Linked DNA regions of Arabidopsis thaliana. The protein of the gene in region 2 interacts with the protein of the main gene of each other region in a pairwise test. Each region holds a gene or a part of one and is shown on either strand. Other genes may lie near its edges.

Evidence for each region. Proteins that work in one complex are often made in the same cells at the same time.
Region 1: the proteins of AT2G28315 (region 2) and PDLP8 interact in a protein complementation assay, tested with the Arabidopsis thaliana proteins (one large-scale study listed by BioGRID).

Annotation. Positions count from the first base shown.
Region 1 is NC_003074.8:22,438,371-22,445,915, reverse strand, and holds PDLP8 (plasmodesmata-located protein 8), read right to left. Parts: upstream 4,146-7,545; 5' UTR 3,882-4,145; coding exon 3,155-3,881; coding exon of another isoform or gene 3,138-3,154; exon of another isoform or gene 2,543-3,137; coding exon 2,400-2,542; 3' UTR 2,313-2,399; coding exon of another isoform or gene 2,308-2,312; 3' UTR 2,042-2,307; downstream 1-2,041. Other genes in the region: AT3G60730 (Plant invertase/pectin methylesterase inhibitor superfamily), read right to left, coding at 1-341, 508-961; AT3G60710 (F-box family protein), read right to left, coding at 4,444-4,794, 4,875-5,015, 5,161-5,455, 5,543-5,718; AT3G60700 (hypothetical protein (DUF1163)), read right to left, coding at 6,769-7,054, 7,141-7,514. UniProt on the Arabidopsis thaliana protein: Modulates cell-to-cell trafficking.
Region 2 is NC_003071.7:12,085,247-12,092,775, reverse strand, and holds AT2G28315 (Nucleotide/sugar transporter family protein), read right to left. Parts: upstream 4,110-7,529; 5' UTR 3,881-4,109; coding exon 3,760-3,880; intron 3,644-3,759; coding exon 3,459-3,643; intron 3,379-3,458; coding exon 3,311-3,378; intron 3,223-3,310; coding exon 3,090-3,222; intron 3,007-3,089; coding exon 2,845-3,006; intron 2,651-2,844; coding exon 2,381-2,650; coding exon of another isoform or gene 2,372-2,380; exon of another isoform or gene 2,296-2,371; coding exon 2,206-2,295; 3' UTR 2,011-2,205; downstream 1-2,010. Other genes in the region: AT2G28310 (trimethylguanosine synthase (DUF707)), read right to left, coding at 4,888-5,091, 5,181-5,234, 5,325-5,391, 5,486-5,542, 5,633-5,746, 5,824-5,925, 6,007-6,122, 6,216-6,299 and 4 more. UniProt on the Arabidopsis thaliana protein: Nucleotide-sugar transporter that transports UDP-xylose and UMP in a strict counter-exchange mode.

The DNA.
Region 1 (7,545 bases), on a different chromosome or scaffold from region 2:
ACCATCACCAACTAGCATGATGTTTTTCATGTGTCTATCTATTTCGATTTTTTCGTTATAAACACCAGCTTTTATGTATATTATCACTCTATTCAACCGACTTTTACCCATTCTTGAAACGGCGGCTAATGCTTGGTTTATCGTCCGATGAGTCGCCGAACCGTCCCGAGCCACCACGAAATCTGCCCTTGAACTTGTTGGATTCCATGACACTAACATTCCACCGTTTTGGTTTGGTCTTGATGGTCCATGGTGTGATCTTCCTGGTCCATGATTTGGTCTCGTTGGTCTATGTTTTGGTCTCGTTGGTCCATGGCCCTGTCTCGCTGGTCCATGCAGCCCTACCAAATGTTATTAGAGATCCATAATAGATAAACCATGATATCTCAAACAAAAATTTACACTTATCTTGGAGTCTACAATCGTTATTTAGTGATAAAACAGAGCGATTTATTGTATCATTTTATTTAATTATGTATACATGAATGTATGTGTAAGTTTTCTTACTCTTTTTCATATGACCTCTAGACTTTTTGTAGAAAGCCAAAGCTTCATGGAGCACGAACGTGACGTTGCTATGGACCAAAGGCTTATGACCTTGACGTTGCTGAATTAAACCGTCTAAACAAGTGTGATGATTCGCAAGCACGCCACTTAGCCACGTTCTAACATCTTCAACGGTGAAATTCTCATGATCTACGACCAGTTTCGATAGCCTAGCTTCACTCTCATCGTAGAGCTTCTCGCATTCACTTAACCCCAATTTATAATAACTACCAGCAACTTCACTAGTTGCCTCAGTCACAGCCATTGACCCAAAACTAGTCTTGGCTTCAACCACAGCAGTTCTAGCCATTTCAAGTACATCCAACTCGGCTGTGTTTGAGGCGGTTATGACGGCAGCAATGGCTAGAAAGAACATGATAGTGATTAAGTCGGTGACTTTTACAAACGTGGACATTTTTAGTAAATGTTATTATAAGATTGTTGTAGTGTTTAGTAATTTTCTTGAAATGCGTTTTAAGTAAATAATTATTGATGTTGTTGTGTATTTAACAGCAAACGAAGAATGGAACTTGTCGTAGAAATGTAGATGAAGATGGTGGCGAGGAATCTAACAGATGGAGAGAGAGATAAGGCACGTGTGAGAGTATGTGTAAGCTTTTGTTTATATGATTATTGATGGCCCATGCATATGAGACTAACTTCATTAATTACGTTATACATTTCAGGTTGTAAATTAGTGCAACGCTCTGTATCAAAGTGAGTAAACGTATACGTCTATGTGTCAAGAACACAACCTTAAGTTGTTCTTCTTCATCATAAGTTTATTATCTTCAAGAGCTGAGAGACTACTATATATACTGGATTAAACCTAAATTTTTATATACTGGTATAGTGATATATAATCATAATCCCATTATTACGAATTTACGATGGATAAGATATATATATATATATATATATATATATATATATATATATAAATAAAAGAAATTTTCAGGATTTGGAGTCAAAAAGAAAAGAAAACAAAATCCATGAATGATCAGTTATATTTTAATAGAATAATATATAAAGTAATAATTTTGTTGGAGTAATATGTTGTAACATTAGTGAAAATTACTATTTTTGTCATGGGTTTATATGTTTTTGGTAAAAGAATTTCTTGAATTAATTTTTAAAAAAATACAAAAAAAAAGGAATGGTTGCATGGAAAATGTTTTAGTCTTTTAGATATGTTACACGGCTTAGAAGCTTAGTAGGCCGAGGCCCAGTCCATAATAATTTAATGGCTCAATGGAATATGTGGTGAAACCCATGAGAACCGGGTAGATCCGGATCGTAGAAAACCAAAGAATTGATTGAATGGAACCTCTCAAGTCTTATAAGCCTTCTTCTTTTTTTTTTTTGCCGGCAGAACCTTTTAAAGTTTAATGATACTCAATCGATCGAATCACGTTGTTCTCCGGAAATGATAATCTACTTATCTAAGTATGAGTATCGAATAATTGCGCCTGCTAAGGAAAGTGGATTTTAGTCTAAAACTAGTTAATGGAATAAAGTTAGCATCTTTTTAAGGCAGACAATACGGGTCACACTATACAAATATTTAATACCTCAAAGCTAAAAATCATTATATCATCAGTCACTAATAGTTTTCCTTTTGATAAACCAAAAATTTCAGCAAGGAACGGTAACGGATGTGTTCCTCCTACAAAATAAAAGGAATAGTGGAATACAAGAGAGTTCAAAAAAAAAAAAACAGGTCCCTAGAATCTTGTATCCCGAATCATGCCTTTCATTATATCAATCTGCAAATCAGATAAGAAAAATTATGAGATCATGATACTTATTTCTAAATATATACTAAAAATGAGTGATTTGATCTTAAATCTTAATCATGTGAAGATTAGGCAAGTAAGTATAGACTTACGCATGGAGTTTCTACAAAGGGAGAGGAGAACAACAAGAATTGCGAATCCAGCAATGACTCCTACGATGATCGCGATTGATTTCCCCACGTGATCTCCATTCGTTGGATCTTAATAACGAAAATTAGATCAAATTTAAAAAGATCTTAATATTGTATGTGACAAATTAAAGTACATAAGATAAGGACAATATAGTATCAAGCTAAGAATTAGATTTTCTAAGATGCAATGACTTTTGGACTATGTGATATTGATCAAGCTATAAAGAATATATAAAATAAAGTTGAAAATGGGGACATGGGTGGCTATGCCTATAAAGAAAAGAATAATATATTGCAAAAACATTCTTTTCTGACCAATGATATTATAATCATGATACTCGAATTTTCCAACGAATGATTCAAAAGATTAATTCTATTTTATTCAATACTTAATGGTGTCTTTCCAGTGGAAATTACAAAAAAAAAAAAGCAACGAAAATTTTATGATTTCTTCAACTTTCTCGTGCTACCAAGGAGCGACTAGACTTGTGATTTTCTCAATTATAAGCGGCGGAAATTTAAATTTTGTCAAATTCTCACACATTTCTATACAGTTCATTACTACAATTTTCAATTATATTATCATGGCACTAAGCATGATTCACGAATATAATTAAAGAACTTACGTAAATTAGAGCAATAGCTAATAAATGAAATAAAGATTTTAATTTATGGACTGACCTGAAGAGAAGTCATAGTAACCAGAGCCCCAATAACGAGCATAGCACTGAGCCAAGTAAACCTCAGCTGCAACCGCCGAGCCACAAAGATTCTTTAATTTTCCGACAGACTCGGCAAGACAAGCCGTACAGTCACTAGGACTCAAGTCACCAACACACTGAGCATAACCTTCGACTAAACCGGACCGGCTAACTTTGTAACCGAGTTGAGTCGACTCAAGATCCGACAACACATCGTCTCTCCGCTTAAAGAAATCGTAGTCATTCTCAACGCTCTTGGAACTACACTTCTTGTACCTAAGACTTGTGTCTGGTTTCCCTAGAAAATCGTTTGTTTCGTAACGTAAGAAGCAGCCTTCGAGCTGGAGAGAAGCGCCGTAAGAGTAAGGACAAATGAGAGTGATTTGATCGACTGAGGTTTGGATGCATTTTGAGCAGTCTGATGATCGGAGATCGTCACGGCATTGATAGAGGCCGAAGACGGCGGAAGAGGATGAGGAGGAGGAGGAGTCGTTGCCGACGGCAAAGCTGTTGAAGGACGCGTCAGAGGAGGAAGTGACGACAGAGGAGAGGAAAGTGTCGCGGTTTGACTCAAAAGGTGTGTTTGGTGTGTATTTTTCCGGTGAACATCCTCCGTAGATGAAGATGTGAGATTCTGATGAAGATCTTGAGGAGGAGGATGAGTAAAAGAATAAAAAGAGGAGAGAGAAGAGAAAGAGTCTTCTCATATTTTCTTGTTCTTTGAGATTGTTTTCAAAGGAGCTTTCGTTTTTGATCTATCTTATTCCTTGTAGTGTTTTATTTAACAATAATAATCGAGAATGATTATTCATCACTATGGGTCCGAAACTTTTATCGGCGACATTAATACAAACATGTATAATGCATACCGTAGTTAAGAAATAAGTGGATATATATAAATGTAGCTAGGATGAATACAAAACTACATAATAGATCAACAAACGTGGTCTAGAACATTCACTTGTAACGAATCAATACCAAAGTGTAGACAAATTGGATGATAACATTATTGTTTTGTTAAGAGTGCCTAAAATGATTTAGACATGATTAAAGAAGATTTGGTTTTGTGGGTATAATAATATCTTGAAACTTCTTTTGTGCAAAGAGGGTCCCATTTTAGGCATGTCCTTTTGATTAGTATATGTTCGCTAGATCGATTCCATCACACATATTCTCATCAAGTTAGTGGAGAATTTTCAAGTGATAGAAACAACTTTCTTTAAATCCTGACCACGACCAAAAGGGCTAATTAGATTGATCATAAGAGATTTAAAGAAAACGACGACTAAAGTGCTTAGCTTCATCAAATGTATAACCTAGGCGAAATTTCGATGCTTCTCGACCTATCTTCACCTCTACAAAAGAGTAATTTTGAAAGGTGAGAATTTTCTCAAGGACGCTGCTAGACTCGTCTTCTTCTTCATCATCTAACCATAGAGTGAGCTTCAGAAGTGTTGCATTCTCTAAGATGTAGTTAGCAACCTCGGTTTCAGCTTTTCGGCTTTTCTCTTGGTCAGCCTTGGGCGTCATTTTTATTTTGACATTCTCAATGGATGTTTGGAGACATTTTGGCACTGGTGAGCTTGCAATTTCCTCCATCTTTGGATAACCATGAAGCTCCTACAAAGGAAAACACCATAAGACATGTATAATATATATAGTCACTCGCTACTCTCAATACCAAGAGAAGGAATCATTACCAAGTCAATAGATTTTAGGTTGGGACTGCTGGAGAGATATATAGGCAACATCTCTGAATAGTCGGTATGGAGAAAAGCGTACAAACGGGTCAAGTTCTTGAATTCAGGCAGTTGTTGCAGTTTTGTGTAAGCATAGGTTCCCTGTCAAGAACCAACACTTGGTAAGAACAAATACATGCATCTAGAGTATGGCCAGAGATGCTAAGATCTGTGACCTCCGAGAACTCAGCAAAAAACTTGTGCAAAGTTTGCGTGTTTGAAAAGTCATCTCCCCATAAAACCGTACATCGATACACATCTTGATAGAAGAAATAACACTTTCCACTCTGAAGTCTTCCAATGGAAAATCTCTGATACGCAGAAACTCTAAGCTAGGAGTGTCAATCACAAGTCCAGATTCTCCATCATCACCCAAGGAGACATCATCATTTTCTCCCTTAAAGATAAATGTCCATAGACTCAAGCTCCTTAACGTCTGAGATCGCACTTTCAAAAAGTCAACTCCAACATCACAAATGCTCAAGACTTGAAGAACAGGAGAGCACGAGATAAGCATCTCTAGAACCACATCACTCGGTGTACTGCGAAACCCTAAATGCATAACCTCAAGGTGAGGTAGATAGAAAGACTCACAACTATCAAAATCATCCAGAATTACATATTCTAACCGCAAGTTTACAAATTTAAGAATCTGTCGAGAAATTAGGTACAAACCAGGAACACTTTGCCAGAGATTTCTCCATCTTGTCGGTAAGACACTTGTCCTAACAGACTCACTCGTGGGAAGATTCAAGAGTATCTCTTGCAGCAACTCATTGGGCAATTGGCTTATCAAATCTTCCATTGGTCCCTAAATTGATCAACAGAACAAAGAGACAAAGACACGGTATTTATTAGCTAAGGTCTAAGAAAACAAATCAAAATTAAACCGCGTTCTGCAACATGAGTCGTAGAAATTTCTAGACCAGTTAACACGAAATCGCATTCATAGAAAGCAAATTAAGTTGAGATCAAGTTCACAATCAACGTACGAGCAGAGCACTCTCAGATATTTCCAAAACCTAATAAACCAAAAAATTTGAGACGAGTTTATGGAAAGAAGGGTTTTGGTTTCACGTTAAAAAAGTATCTTATCTTCTAAAGACTCTGGTCTAAAGAGAGTGTTTCTACTTTTTTTACAATAACGAGCTTTCGAGACATGACTAGGGTATACGTATATCACAATTATTATGTATGAGGTTAATTTCTATTTTTCGTTACTCTTTCTTTCTTATTAATTATGTTTTAAGAAAAAGTTGTATATTTAGTCATTATCTTATTGGAGACTGGAGAGCATGAAACCACACACAAAAATCAAGATACTTGGTCGAGAGAACCAATATCCTAGTCGGTAACCTAAGAGCAACCACATTGGTGAGCTTTTAGCAAATATTTTTAACAATAATTTTATAATTTATTTTGAAATTAAGAGTTTTAATAAAAAAAAATTTTTTAAAAGTGTATTTTGTCTCTTATATAAGAGTCAAATCTTAACTATTTTACCAATTAAATATTAAATTTAAATTTTAATATCTCTAAAAATTATATCAAGAGCCCACCAATGTAAATGCTCTAAGAGCTTGTTAATCCATATATAGCACAGTAGCACTAGCGTTATAATATTTAAATCGAAATGTAGAAGAACAAAATAAATCAAATTAATAAATTATCGTCAATTAGCAAATAAAGATTGAAAAAATTATAAGATTGTTAGTCAAGGGAGAAATCCACACAAAATCTATATCAAACACAGTTTGGTAAACTCTACGAGATGTTTTATATCTGATGGTATGCGTTATCCAAAGTATATTACACATAAAGAAGGTCCAATCTTCATATAAAGTTAAACAAGAAACTAGTGATCATCATAGAGGCAATTAGGATAGCCAACCACAGTTGATGTAATCTTCTGTTCATAACTCGACTCAAATTTCATTTTGACCTCATCACAAGCAAATTTCATGGTCCCTGCCTTATTTTCTCTGCAATCCGGAAGAAACAACCGCAACCCCAAGCGCACTTCGCTTCTCTCTTTAATGTCGTTCACAATGTTTTTTCCAATCGCGCCATTGATATCCTCTTCAGAGACATCCCCTGAAACCTTGAGCAGTTGAGGCCAATGAAACAGAAGATTGTTGTAACTGATCAAGCAAAAAAAAATAGATTTTTCGTTATAATAATATAATATATATGAAGAAAGTTAAATAATTAAAATAGATATTTGAACCTTCTTGGGGGTGAAGTAGCAATGGTAATATTCTTGTAAAGTAAAGAAGCTTGAAAGTCTCCTTGTAGACATATATAGGAACCAGGAAGGTTTTCGGGAACTCTAATGGATAAGTTCCATTTTGCACTAAGATGAGTATTTATATCAAACACCGTAAAATTCATAAAAGCTATTGTACTATACGGCACATGATTAGTTGTTATAGATTTCGATAGGAAATAGGAACACGAAAACTTCACGGCGCACAACGTTACCCATACTACCAACAATTGGGAAAAACAACAGAAAATTAGTGTTGCTGCTGGTTCCCCTTTTTTTGGAACTTCTTCTCTGAGTTCTTCTTTATCAACAAAAGCTTCTTTTTCGAGGTCCATCTTGTATCGTTGACCAAACAAGATCAAGGAA
Region 2 (7,529 bases):
ATATAAAATTAAACTATAAAATATAAATGTATTAGAGAATGATACAATTTGCAAAACTTTTATATATAAAAAATAATTCTTAAATTTTAAAAATTACTATTTTTAAAAAAACCACGGGACGGGTAAAGAAATTACAGAACGGGTTTTATTTTGGAATTGGGTTATATGGTAGATGTATTTGAATCAATATTTATAAAATTTTGAAATATGTTTAATATGCTGTTTTAATAGGGGTTAAAACTTAAAAATTTTAACAATTGTCTCATGGATTCGTGGTATAGCGTTACTTAATAACAATTATAAACTGTAAAATATAAATATTTTATAAAATTAAAATTTACAAGTTTTAATATATATTACTTTCAAAAAATGAAGATGGAAAACTGGAGAAATAAATTTATTAGAGTGAATGATGATAAACTTTTTTTTTCCTGTTAATTGAAGATAAATCCTCACCACCTGTGGAGGAGTTCAAAACTAATCTCTGGGTAGATAAAGTTTTTTAAAAAATAGTTCACATGTAAATTTTTGTATAAATCACATATTTAATAGATTTAGCGTGGTACATTGATCATATACAACATTGAAGTATTAAAGTAACTATACTAGAGTAATATTAATTTTTGTACTCTTTTCTCGGAAGTGAGCTTGTTGTGTCTTATTTATCAATGGTTAATGTGCAAATTGCATCAGACTCTTATTAGTATTCTTATCAAATTTTCCAAATATCTATCTTCTCCAAAGTGGATAAAATAGTATCTTGCTTTTAATTTTAAAATACTGATATTAAGATATTATGCTTGAAAACATATGGTTTTAATGGGAAAGTGGCACAATTTTAGATTATATGTCACTCAGTGGCTCAAAAACAAACAAATGAAAAGTCATATAGCTCATCTGGGTGGTTTGTACCCATCAAACACTACTTTGTTATAAACGCTTTACAAGATATGTTATTGGGTAGAAAATCAAAATAAACATATCACAACAAGAGGTAAGACAAAACTCTTGGGAGCTTAATCACATTCACATACAGAAACTACTTATACTAAAATGCAAGCCATAGTTTTACTTTATTTTGCCAACTCCTAAATTAACTAATTCAATATGAGTGGAGACTTAAAAAAAAAAATGGCTAAAGAAAGTGAAACCAACCAACAAAGACAAGGCATAGTCTCTGAAAACACATGGAGACAAAATAGTAATCTTGAAAAATAAGCATTAGCGTTGATCGATTGAGAAATATGTAGAAACGTATCACAACATCGTTGGACAAAAGGCCAAAACTGTAGTAATTTGTAGGAATAAGTCATCATCATATAATTTGTTTAAAATGATTTTTAGTTGGATTGTTGGTTGTTGCAAACAAGTTGGCCTATTGATGAAGATTGAAGACCATTTCTCATTTATTATTATTATTTTTTTTTTTTTGTCATTCGTAACTTGCAAGTCTCACAACCACTAGTTTTTAATTAAAAAAATTATTCGCTTTTAAGGGAAAGTTTCATTGCCAATTCTCTTTGTAGGTCCATAAGACCATAACATAAAAATGTTATACATATACTATTCATGGAAAGATAAAACAACAACGACAACGTAGCATGTGAACAGAGGATGAATTCTCGTAAACGTTAGACGTAACGCACATGTAATATTTAACAATATACATATCTATATGTATATATGTTATAAATTGCATTTAAATTTTTTATATGGAAAGGAAAAATAAGAGCATAAAGCATTTCAATTATTAGAAATTTCTGGTTCCTGTTATCCTAAAAACCGATAATAATTATATGCATATGTCAAATCGCCCATCATTTTTCTTCCATAAACTCAAAAACTTCATAATTTATCACATTTTAATCACCGAAAAGTCCAAAACCGTTTTGAAACTAATTGTATTTTAAACACTATTTAGTACTATACTATTTTATTTTATCTTCTTAATAGAAAACAATCATTTGATCATTTGAAGAACACTAACATAAACCAAAGAACACGTACGAGAGAAAATAATTTTATAATCCTTGTAAGATCCAAAAAGGAGGAAATGAAATAGGAAATGTAAATATAAAAAAGAAGAGAAAATGCCCATTGGCTATTTCAATTTTTTCTCAATTACAAAAACATTATCAATGAATGAACAAAAAAAAGGGACACAATTATAGAGTCGAAACATAAAGAAAGAGTTATTGTACTATTTCATACTGGAGAATGCTTGTCTAATTTCTTGGCTTCATGATGGTTCTCATTTTCTTGTCCCAAAAGCGGCGTCGTATCTCTATCTTTCCCCTGTCAAAAAAGGAATAAAACCAAAGTACTTAGAAACTTTCAACACTCATTATTTCTATCTTTTCTTTTTGTGTGGTTAACGTACAAGAAAAGTGGAATCGGAGGAGGCTTGTTTGGATTTAGAAGCAACTGAGCAGAAGTAGGAGTAGAGAAGCATCCCGAGGACAGCGATGAGTATTCCTGCGATATTACGAGGAGTGAAGGGATCGTGAAGGAGAGTGTAACCAAATGCGAGCACCAAACACGTTTTGAGATGTCCCAAGACTTGGTATGTCACCGGAGATGTCTTTCCAATCACTAAAAACGTACTGAAGTTAACCGAAACCGCTATCAAACACGACAACGTTATGAACCCCTGCATGATTCATCATTGTCAAATTTCACAAAATTTTAGTATCTATCTAGGGACGTTATGATACAATCATGGCTCAACATGGGCACGGCTCTAAGGGGCCATGCGAAAATGGGCTGGACCGATCCAGGACAATGATTCTAATTCTATTTTAACACCAATTGGGAATAAATGGAATTAACGATGTAAAAAATTACCACGACGATGGGAGAGTAATGGAAGGAGAAAACATTGAGGCTAGTGAGGTATTTGTCGACAAAAGGACCCGAGACGAAGAGTATAGCAGCTTGGAACGGGGCTGATTGGTATAGGAGTTGTGTTGATGTCACGTTCAGTCTCTTCTGGATAGTGTTTGTTAGCTTCACCACAACATTTTCATAGTCATATTAATTATACTATGTATTAGTTATTAAACATTAGTTTAATGAAACTTAAAGCATACAATTTGGCCGACGCAAGTTGTGGCAATGGCAAGGAGAGATAGAACAGAGCCAACAAAATTGAGCTGAAGATCTGTGATTGATGCTATACCAACCCCAACTAGCAGCAAAAACAATGAGAATTTTATCTTCTGGCTGCAAAACCAAAATATGTCATTCAAAAAAAAGTTATTTATGTAAACAATAAAAATTAAAATAATCTTATGTATCAAGTTTGGTTCACCTGAACTTCTTGTTGAGGAAGAGGGTTTCTAAAAGAACAGTGAATGGTATGATAGCAAGTTTGGTCATCTGCCATTAGTTATGGACAAACATCAAATTGGTGAATCATATAATTGTTACATGATCAAAAGTATGTCGAAGATATATACTTGATAGAAGCCGATGGAATTAAAGCCGAGGCTGAGATTGAGGAGACCAATGGAAATGCCATTGAGGAGGCCAAAGAGAACAACAGTTCTCATGTCTATTGGTTTATTCTCAAAGAAGTTTAGTTTATATGCCACATGAAGTGTGCAATATGTTACCATCAAATGCCAACTAGTAAGTGTTGTTGCTGTAACAAAACCATAGCAAAAAAGCGATCAATCCTAAGACGAATAATCGGGTTTTTGATAAAGATCTTACAAAATATATTCTCACAAAGCAAAAAAAAAAAGTACTAGTAATTACCAAAAGGGAAACCAAGATTGGTCATCAAAGCTTTGTTGCAAATGACAATGGAGACAGAAGATGCAACTGATAGAAACAATGCTCCAATCACACCCATTTGCATACTCTTCATCTCTCCCATTTTTTCTTCCTCTCTCTCCTCTCAAATCTTCAAATCTATCAAATGAAGAGAGAGAAAGAGAGATATATATTGATGTGAGAAAAAGAGAAGGATTGTGAATGTGATGAGTGATGAAATGCAAAGGTGATATAATGAGATTTTTATTATTTGTTTGTATAAAAATGGTTGGTGTCTAACACCAAACTTCTGTTCTTCCTAATTTCATGTTTTAATAATTATGACATTTACATAATTACGCACAAGATACATGAGAAAAACTATAATGATGTTGCTTAATATTTGTTTTTCCTCATAAGAGACTTCTACTAATGATATGATAGCAAATTCTTAACCATAAAAAAGACTCTGAAATGAAACAGCCAATGGAGGGAGACATTGTATGGTTTTCTATGGACAAACAATTGACTTGAACTAAAAGCAAAAAGGAAGGTGAAACTGAATTTCTCATACTTTTTCTATTGGGCAAAATATTGTAAAATAGAAACTAAAATGAAAATTGAAATTATTTGGATTTGGTGTAAAGCTTCACACTCACTCCAAAGTCCATACCAATACCCTTCTCTTCTCCTTAATTTCTCTACCATTTACGTTACCTATTGAGAGCAAATATAAAATAGCCAATTTATGAAATTGGGTGAAATAGATAAATCATGAAACTGGTTATAAGTCTTGTTTTCTTATTGTCTTTTCAGAAGTCAAAAAGATTATGTAATAACAACCACTTCTATTACACCTTTGTTTTCTAAAGTTTTTTTTTTTTACATGTTTCACTTCTCTCTTGTTTAGTGAAAGCAATTTCTTTTTAAAAACATCTAAGAATTTGAAATGGAGAAAGTAACAAACAACATAATAAAGCTCAATCAAAATGTATAAATCTTACACAATATCAATAAAAAGGGCTTCACACATGTCCTATGAAAACCTAATTTAGTGTAAAATATTTGATATACAAAAGTAAAAGTTTTTTTAATATATTAATTATATAGAAAGAAAAAAGAAAAACAAATCTAATCTTTCACCATCTTCCCAAGATACTCTTTATCAGCATCAGCCAATCGGTTCTGAAACATTGTCCATTCCATTTTGCATCTATCTCTCACTCCTTGCCATGGAGCTTTCCCATTCTCTGACTTTCCTTGACTTCCAAGTGAAGGTATCACTTTATGTATTATCCATTGCGAATCCACAACACCAATCTTCTCATGAGCAGGCTGCAAAAGCAAAACACACAAATTTTCATCATCAGTCAAGAGAATATTGTGTTATTAAGGTAAGCAAGGGGGGGGCAAAAACAACTTACTTCAACGCATCTTCTAAGCGCAAAGTCGAGACCCCATCCATGAACCAGATCATTCTGCATCAGAAACATAAACAAACTGATCAAAACAACAAGCATTATTTTGATGGACTAAGACTAGGACTATGTATCTACAGATCGACGAACCTGAATCATATGCCACACACATCGCCATGCTTCTCGAGAAAATACAGGCGCCATTATTTCAACAAACCTGTGAGAGGGAATTTTTTTCAGAAAACTCAGTACTGACAATGACTAAACACTCTTGAGTTGCTCTAAAGAGAACGTTTCAAAGAGAGACTTACGCGGCACATGGAGGTAAATGTGGGTCTTTACACCATCCTGGTTTCTCTTTTGTATCTCTGTTCAACAGTAAGTAACAACACATTTCTTAATTCAGAACCAAATTTGAAAGAAAGGCAAAGAAGAATGGTTAGAGAAGGAGATCTTACTTATGGACTTCCCGGTCACCTCTCCTCTTTGTCATTTCCCATGTGAGTCCATTGTTAGGCTCTAAGCCTGGTTGAGAAATCTCTAAACCATGCTTCTTAACTAACTCAATGTACCTGAAGTTTTAATAGAATTCCATCACAAAATGTAAAATATAAGATTGTTCTGCTACTTCAGACAAGTAATAACTTACTTATCCGCATTGAAATGCTCCACTCCAAGATCTTCATCCCATATAAATATGTACTCATAAGCTGACACAACATCAGGATGCAAAAACCTCTTCGCGTACCACCTGCCAAAACCAGTAGAGAATTTCGATAAAAACATACTCGACAAACATACTTAATAACCGGTAAATGACCAGATGACTAACCATTTTGTTTGCTTTCTTGTACTAATATGAATCGCGCTCTTCGACCACTCAAATTGGTCCCATTCAGTTGTCCGGCCATCATAATGGAAGAGCAAAATTTGGAAATCTTCAGAAAACTGAAGATATGACAAGAAAACAAAAAATCTGAGTGTATCCACAAAGAATATATAAAACAATACTTGCTAAAACACATGCTGATATTGCAGAACCTTCTTAACAACTCCATTAATATGGTTCCTCTGCTCAAATCCAACTGTAAATGTCACAAGATATTTTGGCTTCTTCTTCAAATCCTGCAAAGGTTATTGTTTTGACATTAACTATTCTAATGGCCTTCAGAGATAAAACCATATATATTGAGAAAGTAAATATAGAATGAGAAGTCAATACTTCATTAGGTTCTCCCCATAATCTACGCAAGTAAAAATCAGTTTTCGCCACAACGATTCCTGGAGGTAGTAGTTCTGCACCACGCGGGTTAGTTGGAACATATATCTGCAATCAAACATACAGAAACGATACATTTCATCTGAAATGAGGCACTATTCTAGAACATAATCGAAAAGCTAACGAAAGGGAACCGAACAAGAAGTTTATTATATACCTCAGGAAACTTTCTTGAACCGAAATCTTCAGGGGATTTGTCACCAGATATGGCTACATCAAGAGATGATATAAGGCGCGAGGGTAAGTTAATCTGCAGGAATACGAAACAAAATTCAACAGGTGCAAAAATGAAAGGGACACATAAAAGGACCTATGAAAAACAAAACTCATACCTTAAACGAAAGTGAAGGTAATGTGATACCAATAAAAGTCCCAAACACTATCCCCAAAATAGTAGTAATAATAACCTTTGCATTTTCATTCGTTCTTCGAGGAGCACCACTGCAAAACTAACCACTAAGTAGTAATCTTCATATTGGAAAAAAAACTCTTTTTTTTGTATTACAATCTATCAGTTAAGGAAATTATACCTGCGGTGCATTGTTCCCATTTAGTTAGAAATATCTCCAAACACTCTAGTCAACAAAATTGAGTCACCCCAAATTGTAAAAATTCAATCTTTTTTCTGCAGTAGCTTCAAAACGCAAACATAATACTTCAGAGAAGATATATATCACAGTGATAACTAATTGTAATACTGATAGCTAAAACAAGGCTACATCGAAAATCAAATTCAGCATAAAAGAGATGAAATCGCAAATAAATCTTGAAAATAAAAATGAGATTACTTACAGGCCTTACAGGATTATTAGATCCGGAGACGCCGGTGAAGAAAGCTGAGAGATTAGAGCTCTCAGAGGAGATTCTCCGATCTGTGAGAGCAGAGAGTGATAAAGAGTGTGACAGAGAGAAAGAGAGAGAGATTTGGTGGAGAGGCCTATTTGCGTCGAATTTTTGGAGGTTTTTTAAATTCTTAAAAGGCCCAAACTTTTTTGATTAATTAATCAAAAGATAAGCTCTATTATTAGGACATTACATACATTTGTTCCTGTCTTTTTTTTATTACACAACTCATT